2 linked regions of the Rattus norvegicus genome follow. The protein of the gene in region 2 binds, or shares a complex with, the protein of the main gene of each other region. Links are inferred from orthologs where the notes say so. Each region holds a gene or a part of one and is shown on either strand. Other genes may lie near its edges.

The links. The genes of interacting proteins can lie anywhere in the genome.
Region 1: the proteins of Smurf1 (region 2) and Smad1 are in contact, whole or in part, in an NMR structure (PDB 2LB1), measured with the Homo sapiens proteins. The link is inferred for Rattus norvegicus from reciprocal best matches to the Homo sapiens genes SMURF1 and SMAD1. Residues at the interface, in NP_065162.1 of Homo sapiens: Glu313, Val314, Arg315, Ser316, Arg321, Tyr323, Val325, Asp326, His327, Arg330, Thr331, Thr332, Gln333, Phe334; in NP_001003688.1 of Homo sapiens: Asp221, Thr222, Pro223, Pro224, Pro225, Ala226, Tyr227, Leu228, Pro229, Pro230, Glu231, Asp232.

The regions. Positions count from the first base shown.
Region 1 is NC_086037.1:45,415,011-45,421,074, forward strand, and holds the start of Smad1 (mothers against decapentaplegic homolog 1), read left to right. Parts: upstream 1-2,531; 5' UTR 2,532-2,688; intron 2,689-2,874; exon of another isoform or gene 2,875-3,245; intron 3,246-6,064. UniProt on the Homo sapiens protein: Transcriptional modulator that plays a role in various cellular processes, including embryonic development, cell differentiation, and tissue homeostasis.
Region 2 is NC_086030.1:14,828,380-14,833,689, reverse strand, and holds part of Smurf1 (E3 ubiquitin-protein ligase SMURF1), read right to left. Parts: intron 3,066-5,310; coding exon 2,951-3,065; intron 1,597-2,950; coding exon 1,418-1,596; intron 583-1,417; coding exon 445-582; intron 1-444. UniProt on the Homo sapiens protein: E3 ubiquitin-protein ligase that acts as a negative regulator of BMP signaling pathway. Mediates ubiquitination and degradation of SMAD1 and SMAD5, 2 receptor-regulated SMADs specific for the BMP pathway.

The DNA.
Region 1 (6,064 bases), on a different chromosome or scaffold from region 2:
AACAAATATAATTACTTTAACAATGAGGTTAATCACAATTTACAACTGTCTCAAAAATGCCCCTTTTAAAAGAGTATCCAAATTTTTATTGCCACTTAAAGAAACAACTTGCACAAGTAAAATAAATTTTTTTAATGGGCATAGTATTAGTAATTATCATTCAGGGACAGTAGAAATAGACTAGGAAAGGCCATCTCTAGTGTTACAAATTACTTCAGTGAACAGTTACATAGTACCACTGCATATCTCTCTAGGATTTTTTGTTTATATTTATTATATGTATATGGCTTGACTGGCATGTATCTCCATGTTCCCATCCCATGTCTTCACTTATATCATGCATGTTTCAACAAGGCCTTTCCTGGTGTGCCTGGCCTGGTGCCCCAGAGGCCAGAAGAGGGTGTTGGATCCCCAGGAACTGGAGTTATGGTTGTGAACTGCCATGTGGTTGCTGGGAGTTGAACTCAGGTCCTCTGAAAGAACAGTCAGTGCTCTTAACTCCTAAGACATCTCTTCAGCCTTCCTTTCAGGATTTAAATAAGAACCATGTACCGCCTTTAGCTGTCTGCATTAAAAAAAAAGCTATATTTGGATAAAATTCACAATTGTAGAATGTAGCTATTCAAAATATACACTCATATGTTTTTTGCTGTATTCACACAGTTGTGTAACTACCAGATTTATTATTAACCTTATTTTTGAGATCTTTTACCATGCTTATATCTTTCATGACCCTCCCAGGCTTTCAATCCTGCACCCCACACTCTAATTTCCTATTCTCTTCCTATGGCTTTGTCTATTACGAACATCTTGCATGAAGGAAGCAGATTATATGGGGTCTTTATTTATTAATTCGGCAGAGGGCCTGTTATTTGATTGTTTTATTTTGTTGGTCACAGTGGCCACGGTGGCCTTGAAGTTATTATAAAGCCAAGGATGATCTTGAACTTCTGAATTACAGGTGAGCACTATCCCACCCGGTTATTCCATGCGAAGGGTGGAACCGAGGCTCTCATTGGGCCCTGGGAGACAGAGGAAGTGCTCCTTTCCTTTTCCATGGTTGAATAATGCTCCCGTGTATGGATATACCCCACTCTGTCAGCAGAGGGTCTGTGGACGGGAGGGGAATGACCCTGAGTGGCCTTTAGTCAAGCTCTCTCCAGCTGTTGCCCAAGGGACCAGAGAGCAACCAACTATGTCAAATGCTGCTTTTAAGGAAAATAAGATGAGGTCCAAAAATTGACCAGTAAGTGCTCAAATAGTTTAATGAAGAAAGGAATTTAATTAGCAGAAATATTCTTATGTATAATTTATAAATGGCATTTTATGGGTTTATGGGATTTGTTGCATTTCCTTTGAATAATTAAATATGGAATACAGATATAATACTTAAATAATTAATAAGAATTTTAAGTGGAATGCCAGGCATGTAAAGGTACAGGAATAATTGGAGAGTGTCATTAATTTGTAGTGGCCTTTGGTATTTCTTTATATTGCTGGTAATGATTTTTTTCTTCTTTTGGTTTGTGGGGCATTTACTCCTAGAATAGTTCTTCTCTGAACATAACTCAACATTATGATAAGTGTCCAAGATTTCATGCCAACTTCCAGAAACTGACCAAAAAAAAAGTTGATTGTTTCAAGAGGGTGTTTTTGGTGTCTGAACAGATCAGTAAGATGTGAGCTCCTTTGTGTTTGTGTATTTTTGTTTTGTGGGGTTTTTGTTTGGGGGGTGGGGGTGGAAACAGGGGCAAGACCCTGTCATCTAAAAATTTACACCAAAAATTTATAGTACTAAAAGGGTATTTCCCAATTCAAGGCCAGCCTGGGCTAAAGGGAGAGATCCCGTTCCAAGCCGGCAAGCAAGCAAGTGAACAAAAGGGCTAGGTGGTGAAGCTCAGTTGTAAAGTTCCTTCCTGCCCAGGATGCACAAGGCCAGGTTCGATTCCCAGAATCTTATAAATAAAAATATGTGTAGATCTATAATCCCAGATCTCACGATGTGGAGGCTGGAGGAAGAGAAGTTCAAGGTCTTTTCCCCTTCAAAGTGAGTTCGGGGTCATCCTGGGCTACAAGAGACCATGTATCAAACATACAAATGGCTTTTGTCATTTGCCGCAGCAAGGGTACATACTAGAAATAAATGCATTTACCTAGCAGTTAACAGGTCACCCAGTTTGGGGCTCAGGCCACATGGAGGGCCGGTAAATCACTGGGTCAGTGATTGCAGGGCCATTAAAATGGGTTTTTAGGACGATTGGGTGGGTTTGATGGTCGTGTTTGAGAACATTTCAGAAAATAACACAGGCTTTGGAACTTGACTGGCAGCTAGGCAGGGACTACAGAGTCAGAGGCAGGCGCGGGCCGGGAATTTGGAGAGGATCCCTAAGCAGCAGCGGGCGCGCGCGGTGCGCGTGTGAGCGAGGGCGAGCGGCGGGCGGGTTGTGCGCCGGGTATTGGCAGGCGGGCTGTGGAGGCTGGGCGGTTCCGACTGCCTGACGCCAGCGCGACCAGATCAATCCAGGCTCGGGGAGCGAGCGGGCGCACCAAGGCGAGGCCAGGGCCGAGGCGCGGGGACGGCGGCCGAGAGCTAAGCGAAGCGCTGGGACGGTGACTGGGAACGGATCGGAGCGCGGGACCCGGCGCCGGGTCTCGTGCGTCCCCGCCGATGGGCGCGCCGCCGAGCCGGTAAAGCCGAGCGTACCCGAGCCGACTCGAGAGGGACTTGTCCTGTGCCGCGCGGGGCGCACCGGGACAAGGACCAGCTCCAGGGGATCCAGGGCCGGCTCCGTGGGGCATCCCGGGTGGGCTTCGGGGAAGATCGGGGACGGGCTCCGAGGGCATTAGGGGCGGGCTCCGGGGTCAATCTGGGACGTGCTCCGGGGAGGATCCGGGAGGACTCGGGGACCCGCGCTGAAGGGAATCTGGGACGAGCTCCGGGACACAGTCCCCCCCCACCCCCCATGATGGCGTCTCGCAGCCGCGAACCTGCCGCCAGACCTCTTCTCCCGTCTCCCCGCGTCTTTGTCGGGCGTGTCCAGCTCTCCGGGGACCCCCGTTCCGCATCGGGCCGCAGCCCCATTGTGTCCCCGCCCCGGCCTGCAGACCCTCGCGGGGACAGCGCTGCGCTCAGCTCGGGTCTCCCTGGATGGACGCGCGCGCCCCTGTGGGGTCCCCACACTGCCTGATTTGGGGATCGAGGTTAAGGAAAGTTCGCGGCGGAGTTCCCTCTGATTTATTCAAAGGTCTGGCCGCCTCGCGTCCCCCCCCCCCCCTCCGCCTACACCCCCTGCGTCGCCCAGTGTCGCCTCATTCCTTTCCCTTTACCGGATTCGATTGCCTCACTGCAGCGTTCCGAGCGCCGGGAACAACTGCTCTCGTCCAGACTGTCTTTGTTAGTGTTTCTGTCGCGGGGTGGGGGTGGTGGGCGTGAGAGCGCGGGCCTCTGCAGCCGCGTTGCGGACTGCGTGTGAAGGCTGCGGGGGCAGCGTCTCCCCGAGGTGCTTTGGGGAGCCAGGAGGGACCATGGCCGGCCACATCCAGACACTGTGGTAGTCGCGGCTTTTGTTTATTCGGAGGCACATGCAGTTTTTCTAAAATGCACGGCACAAAATAATCCAGCTAAGAGCTTTCCATCTGAAAATCCTAGCCCATGCCACAGCCATCTAAGAGAAAATCGTAGTAGAGTGCATGTTGTCAACCCTGGCCTCTTTCTTCCCCCTCTCTAGGGTTCTTGGGTGACATCTGAAGTTTTCAAAGCCCGGACTGAAAGGAGTTGCTTGGTTTATGTAATGTCTTCCTGTTGCTGGAGCAAAATCACAGCACGCTCTTTCCAGCATCTCTCGCTCTAAGGGCCTGTGGTGGATAATGTGCCCACACCTCAGCACAATGAGAAAACTGTTCCCTGACCAGGTTCATTTTTCATCTTGTTTATAATTACCACTTCACGCTGTACCGGAAGCTGATGAGCTGTGCTGGAACAGTTCACAGAGTCGAGGCAGAGGCAGTGGTGTTTTCAATTGGTGTGGATGTTTCACACCGGCGGCGGTACTGTGATGGAGGTTGCAGGCCTAAACAGGCTGTGCGGACTTTCGGGTGCGCCCTCCCCGCCTCTGCTTTTCTAATTTTCAGTTATACGATATTTCTGTGAAGGTGGTGCTCCATTTGTGTAAGTCTGCTTTTCTTAGGAAACTGTAAACCAGGGTCTTGAGAGATGGGTTTTCTGGGGGTGGGGATGTCAGAGGCTCCCGAGAATGATCAGGTTTCTTCAGAGGATAGGGATTTGTCCTTGATTTAGTTTTGACCCTTGCAACCATAAGTAGTAACCAAATACACTCTTACTTTTGCAGTGTCCTCTAGTTTTATACCCTTGGAGAGATGGTGGTCTTTACATTTTGGAGGAGTGACAGGGTTGTTTTTGGGGGGGGGGCAATTAAAAATGCTAAACTCTTGTTCATCTTGGAATTTCCATTCCTTTTCTGGTAAGTTCACATGAGCATTAAGAGGAAGTAAATCTTGGTCCCCAGCTACACATACTAGTTAAAAACTAAATTTCGGTTTCTAATCTTGATTTCCAGCTATTCTGGGCTCAAGATAAAAATGCAGTAATGTGGTAGATTGGAGGAAGAATAAACTCGGATGTAATTAGATGAGCGTATTTAAGCAGCAGAAGCCTCCATAATCAAGGCCGAGTTGTGTGTGTGTATAAAAGATCTCATTTGTGTGGTCTTACAAGGCTAATGGAGGCATCGCCGAGACTTTATAAATAATGTAAGTTGTGTGTAATGCAGAGTCTCCAGAGAGGCAGAGAGAGCCTTTCCAACCTGCTCGAGATCTTAAATTGATTTACAGCACTGAACTGGTGCAAAATGATACATCAGAATGACATGGGGTCAGCCTGTAAAAGTCTATGATGTCAGCCTATTAGTTCAGTCATCATAATTAAACCACATTATAGGGGCAGCTAAGCTGGAGTCTGGCGTTATCCTCCAGATATGGGTGGTACATGGATTTTGTTTACGGTAGAAAGGGGAGACGGTGAAGAACCCCCGTGTTTCTGAAAGAGGGGAATGTGTTCTGAACTGTGATTTCTGGGGTGGGGAGGGCTGCATCTTGTTAAAGGCGTAGCTTTTCATTTGATGCTCTGGGGCGGCAATGGGGACCTTTGCAGTGCCCATCTTTGTATCTGTGTGGATTCAACACGGCCTTCTGGATCCTCTGAGATATCAGAGGATGGATTGCTTCCTCGTTTCTGATCATTTGTTAGCTCTGAGCTTGCACTGTGCTGATAAGTGTGTGAGGGTATTGCCGTAACGGGTCATAGTCATCAGGCCTCCACTGAAAACACAGCAGCGACTCAGGCAGAAAAGAAAGGCCCTCGCTTTTGCCTAAGTTCTTATAGAGCGTCTTCAGTGTAGCCCAATGCTCACTGTCTAATAAGGTAGAAGCAGCCTTGTCTGTGCTGCTCAGTCATCATTTAAGATACAGTGTCGCCTGCACCACCCTCATTTCAAGTAGTCATATGTCACTACCATGCTGAAGGGAATGTACGTGGGACAGTTTTTATCCCCATAGAAAGTTCTAGACACTAGGATCTAGAGAGGTGACCTTCCTCTGTACAAATCCTTTTTTTTCCCCCAGAAAGGCAGTTTGGCAGCCAGGCCTACACAGAGAAACCCTGTCTCAAAATCCAACCAACCAAACAACCACCCACCCAACTAACCAACCACTCAACCAAAACCAACCAACCAACCAATCATCTGAACAACAATAACAACAAATTCAGTCTGGAATGATGGCTGAAGACAGAGGTTAATGTGAAGTTGGCTTTTCAGTAGATCCTGTTTGCCGTTTCTGACCATGATTTAGAGCACTAGGTAGATGGAAATTGTAGTTTTCTGTCTCCTTCTGACTTTTTAAAAGTGTGTGGTGGTTGTAACTTATTTACGCCCTGGGACTTCCCAGAAAAGTGTTGTCCCCATCTTACTGATAAAGAAACTGACGCCGAGTGACTGTGTTGCTTCAGGCCGCACAGCTGGCGAGTTCTGAGGGTTTACAGTCTGTC
Region 2 (5,310 bases):
GAAGGGTCTGGGAAGCCCAGGCTGGAATTAGCTCACTATGTAACCCCGAATGGCCTGGAACTCCTCCTGGGTTGGCCTCCCAAGTGCTGGGCTCACAGTGTGCACCACGCACCATGCTACTCAGCCTTTATAGAAAGCCAAAAGCAAACCAGTTCTGCCATTCTGGATTTCCACTACAAAGCTGGAGGCCTTAATGAGACCTCCTGGAGCTGCCAAGGTTTCAACGGGTCTAGGGCACGTGTGGCCATGTGACCCAGCCACAGTTCCCACACACACGACTGTCCCTCAGGTTGGCATTGGGATGCTGTAGTGGGCTCCCTGGACAGGCTGTCAGCCACCTCTGCATTCAGAGCCCAGCTGTCACATGGAGTCTCTACATCAGGGGCCCCCGACAGCGCCTTCTGCTCGCTCCACAGCACCGCTGAAGCCAGCCCTGCATCTTACCGCACATACTCCTTCTTGTTCTCCTCAGTGACAGGCACATTTCTGCCATTGGGTTTCAGTTCATGCTGAAGGATCCGCCCAAAAGCATTGTGCTCCACGCAGAAGGTGTGATCCAGCACTGGCGTGATGTCATTCTCTCTGCAGGCACAGGGGAAGGCTGGTTAGGCCTATGCCAGGGAGCCCTGGCGGCTGGACCGCTGACAGGCACAGTCTAAGTTCTGCCCCTCACTTTATGGTTACCACTCTGGGGGGGGGGGGCATCACTCAGCTATCCTATGACGGACACCACGGGACGGGAACCTAATTGCTCTAGGAGCTGAGGCCTGTGAAGAGGGAGCTCAGTCAAAAGGACACAGCCAGGACAATAAGGCTTCTCCCCTCTGAAGGCACTGGAAATGTCAGGCTGACTCTCTATCTGCCCTACTTCTTGATAACTGTTTCCCCACAGGGAAGCCTCCACTTCCTACAGCCCTGTACCATGGAGCAGGCGAGGCCAAGGAGGAACACCCCACCCCAGCCAGACTCCATATAGCAGCCTCCCCAACTAGTCAGGGGCTGGGTCTTCTACAGGAACACATCAGAGCCATACTTTACCCCGTTCCTGCTGCCCTGGCAAGCATTTGGTTAACTCTACAACGAGGTAACTAAACATGAATTTTTGTCTTGAAACTTTCTCTTAACTTCTACAGGTCACCTGAGAAATTTTAGGGGTGCATGATCTCCATCCACCCCACCCCCACGAAACCAGGCAAGTTACTGGCATTTGTAATCAAACCTAATAACAAGCCAAACCAGCTTATGAAAAGAATACAATCAATTAAATGATGACATGTTTTGTTAATTTGTAATTGCAACCCAATGTTGGATGTTGTTATAGTTAATTCTGTTACTCTCTTTAGTTTCACACCTGTTCCCCCAAAAGAATGCACACCCAACAGCATCCTGAGCTGTGGGAAAGGATGGTGACACTTACAGAATCCACACCAAGCTCTTGTGAAGTTCTGGGTCCACTGACTCCAGATCCGACAGCTGGATGGGTTTTCCCAGGAGCTGCTTGTAGAAAGGAACTGTGAAGCCCCCGTTTATGTAGTGTCCATGGAACACAGCCAGACCCATGATGCGACCCACAAAGTGGAAGTAAGACAGATGGTCCTATAGGGGGCGCCAGAGAACGGCAGGCGGACATTAGGAAGATGACGAGTAGGCGAGGATACCCACTTCCCACAGGCTTCCTGTGACTCTACACCCAACAGGACATATACTCAGCTGCCCATCCCTCACCTACCCACGGCCAGACAGGAAGGCTGCCACTGAGTTCCAGCTTCACTCACTCCTAACACAAGTGGGACTGGTACTTCACAATCCTTCTGCCTCAGCCTTCAGAGTACTGGGATGACAACTGCACCAGCACACACGCCCTGGCCTAACACTGAGAACTTAGTTAGCGTGCAGGGGCCTGGTACAAAGTAAACATGCGGAGCCCTCGACAGTTAGGAAGGCTGTGCTTCTTCCTCCTCAGCTGGAGGGGCTCTGGAGTTTAAGCACTCATAGCTCGTGTGTTTCTGAAAACGTGTCAGGATTTAGTTTCCAGGCTGGGTAAAGGTTTATTCACTGTGTGGATGTGCATGTGTGGTGAATGTGAAGATCACCTTCATCCCCCAGTTGCTGCCCAGTGCTGCCAGGATCTTTCACTGAACCTGGATCTCACAGATTAGGCTGGCCAGCCAGTGCGCTCCAGGAGTCACCCAGGTCCACTTCCCCAGCGCATGTACAACCATGTCTGGCGTCTGTGTTTTTGTTGTTTGTTTGGTGTTTGAAAACAGGGTCTTTCTACATAGCCCCAACTATTCTTGATCTCACTACAGCTGGCCTCCAACTCAGAGTTAGCTCTTAGGCCTGCTTCTGCTTCCTGAGAGCTGGAATTAAAATATGTAACCCCGTGCCCAGTCACATATGGCTTTCTATGTGGATTCTGCAGTGAATTCGCAGTCTCACGTCAGTCTTTACGCTTGTGTGGCTGAACCACTTTCCCAACCACAGTTCATTTGTATTTTAATTCTCTAGTAGAGATAGTCCCTCATTTCAACTCTGTGGCCTTGTGACCTCCAGGGTGTAGGAGGTCCCTTAGATGTGTCCCTGTGCCTACCGCATGTGGAATGCTCACAGCTGTGGCCCAAGAGAGCTAATTATGAAACTTTTCCAATTTTGATCAGCGAATTGACTTGGTAACCTAGCTCTTAAGATGACATCCAAAAGACCACCATCTCCCACTATACCAGAGTCCCCTCAAAGGGTAAAGGACTCAGGCACAGAGCAGCTCAGACCCACAGTCCTCCCCTGCAGGTTCCAGATCTAAACCTGACTAGAGTCTGGTCCAGTCAGTCAGTACTCCCCGCCTTTGCCCTGAGCTCTCCCCAGCATTTTCTCTAAGTCACCCATAACTAGGGGACCCAGGTTTGCCTTAGAACTACAGCTGGATTTCTCAACTCCTCATGGTAATACTCACAGGGTTGATAGAAGAATCTGGGTTGATTTGCAGTGTGTAAATATTGTCCGTGGAATACTGGAAGAGTCCATAATACGGATTCAACATTTCATGGCACAACAAATACAGCCACTCCCTGGAACAATAATAACACGCTCACATGTGCTAACGGCATCATTTTCTGACTGCTTTAAAGATGTGTGTGAATGAATGCCATGTGCATGCAGTACCCAAGCAGGCCAGAAGAGGGCATCAGATGCCTGGAGCGGAAGTTATAAGAGGTTGTGAAGTGCCTTGTGGATGCTGGGGAATCAAGGTCAGGTCCTTTGAAAGAGCAGGAAGTGCTCTCAACTGCCAACCACCATTCCAGTTCCAGCTTGCTTATTGATTGATTAATTGATTGATTGATTTTTCAAAATAGGCATTCTCTGTGTAGTCCTGAGTGTGTATTGGAATTCCCTCTGTAGACCAGGCTGGTCTTGAACTCAGAGGTCTGCCTCCCTCTGTCCCCCAAGAGCTGGGATTAAAAGTGTGAGCCACCACTGCCAGTTGGGAGTTTCTAAGCATTCTATAATAAGAGTTTGGTAGGTGAACATTTCAAGCTCTAGGGAGACATAGAGAATTTATGAACAACTATGCCCTTCTAATTTCCTGTTGAATTCTGACTTTAGACCCTAAGCACAGAACACTTTCCTTTTCTACATTTTCTGTGTGACTGTGTGAGACTGTGTATGTGACTGTGTGTGTATGTGTGTGTGTGTGTGTGTGTGTGTGTGTGCGCGCATGAAGAGCAGAGGTTGCCTCACTGTCTTCCTCAATCGCTCTGCTGATTTTTGGAGGCGGGCTGGCCAGCGAGCCCCAAGGATCCTCCTGCCTCACCTCCCAGCTCTAAGGCTTGAACTTGGGTCCTCATGCTTTCAGAGCAAGCACTTTCCAGACAGAGCCAATGCCTCAGGCCACTCACACTGTGCAATATAAAGAAAACTTAGATGAATGCAAAAACATCACAGAGGTTTTAGAAGTCTGGCAGGTATGCACTGGGTAACTAAGTTTCTAAATTCCTTTAATGTTTAAATCACTTTATCTTAAAAAAGAAAAAACAAACCTAAAATCAGCCAAACACAATAACCACTTCCACTGGAAACCAAACTGGGGTTGGGGGCCCTGCTGCGGGGTGGGCTCAGTCTTGAAGACACTGGGCCACAGCGCCTTCAAAAGACTGAGCTCCAGAGCACAGCTTAGATTTCAGTGTGGATCCCGACTCTTCAAACAGAAAGGAGGCAGGTTTGAGGAGGGCAGCACAGACCAAAACCATCTGTACAGGAAAGGGATGGAAACACACAAAAGATACAGATATGTCAGACCAAACCGGCTCGAGGCTCCCCATCTGTACTTCTGTCGAGCACCCTTTAAGGACCAGGGACCTCCTTGGTGGGTCTAACAGAAGTGTGCTCCCTGCTGCCTGTGTGATTCTCTGCTCGCTTCCTTTGTCAGGTAAGAGTGTAAGAGAATGGGGGCTGGGAGCGCACACATGCACCTGCACCCACACGGAGGTCACTGTGGGTCCCCAGATCTGGTGACTACTGAGTAAATGCAGTCCCTACACAACACACAGGTGGGAGGCTCTACAGTGAGAAGACTTAATTATGCTTTAGATGTATCTAAGTCTTCATTTTATACTTGGATCACAATGGAATTCAATAAATTAGTATGTTACACAGTAACTTAGACTACTATCCTGCTGTAAGCACTGGGAGACGAGGTGAGGAAACCGTGCGAGAAGCGGAGAAGGAAGGAGATGGGAATAAGGGAGAAGACTCAGACAGGAGGAGGGCTATAGGCTCAGAGACTCCTGTGCACAGAGCTATATCCAAAGGTGAGAGAGAGCTTGGCATCAGAGCCATTCTAGAACTGGGAATCTGGCCATGAACTAAACCAAGTTCCTCATCACGGATAGCTGCTGTCAGGGGCACAGAAAGAAGAAAACTTATACCAAACAGCTGTCCTACAAGGGAGAAACCAGGAAAGAGGAGGCTGGGATGACAGTGTTTAGGGTCTGCTCCCAAAGGAGAGGAAGCTGACGCTGACCCCAGGCTGGACCACCATACAGACCAGGTCTCTAAGGACTGCTGCAAAAGGCCATCCTGAGGCATCTTCAAGTTCATGGGGGCAAGAAAGACAAAGTGAGGCATGGTGGTTCATACCTTTAATTCCAGTACTCAAGAGGCTGAGGCAGGAGGATTACTCATTCCAGACCAGTCTATGCTATGTAATGAATTCTGGCACAGGGAAATGAGAAAGAAGAATAGGCAGGAAATAGGAAAAAATAGAACACAGAGACAGATTAAATTCTAAAGCATTAAATGTTACTCTGTAATTCA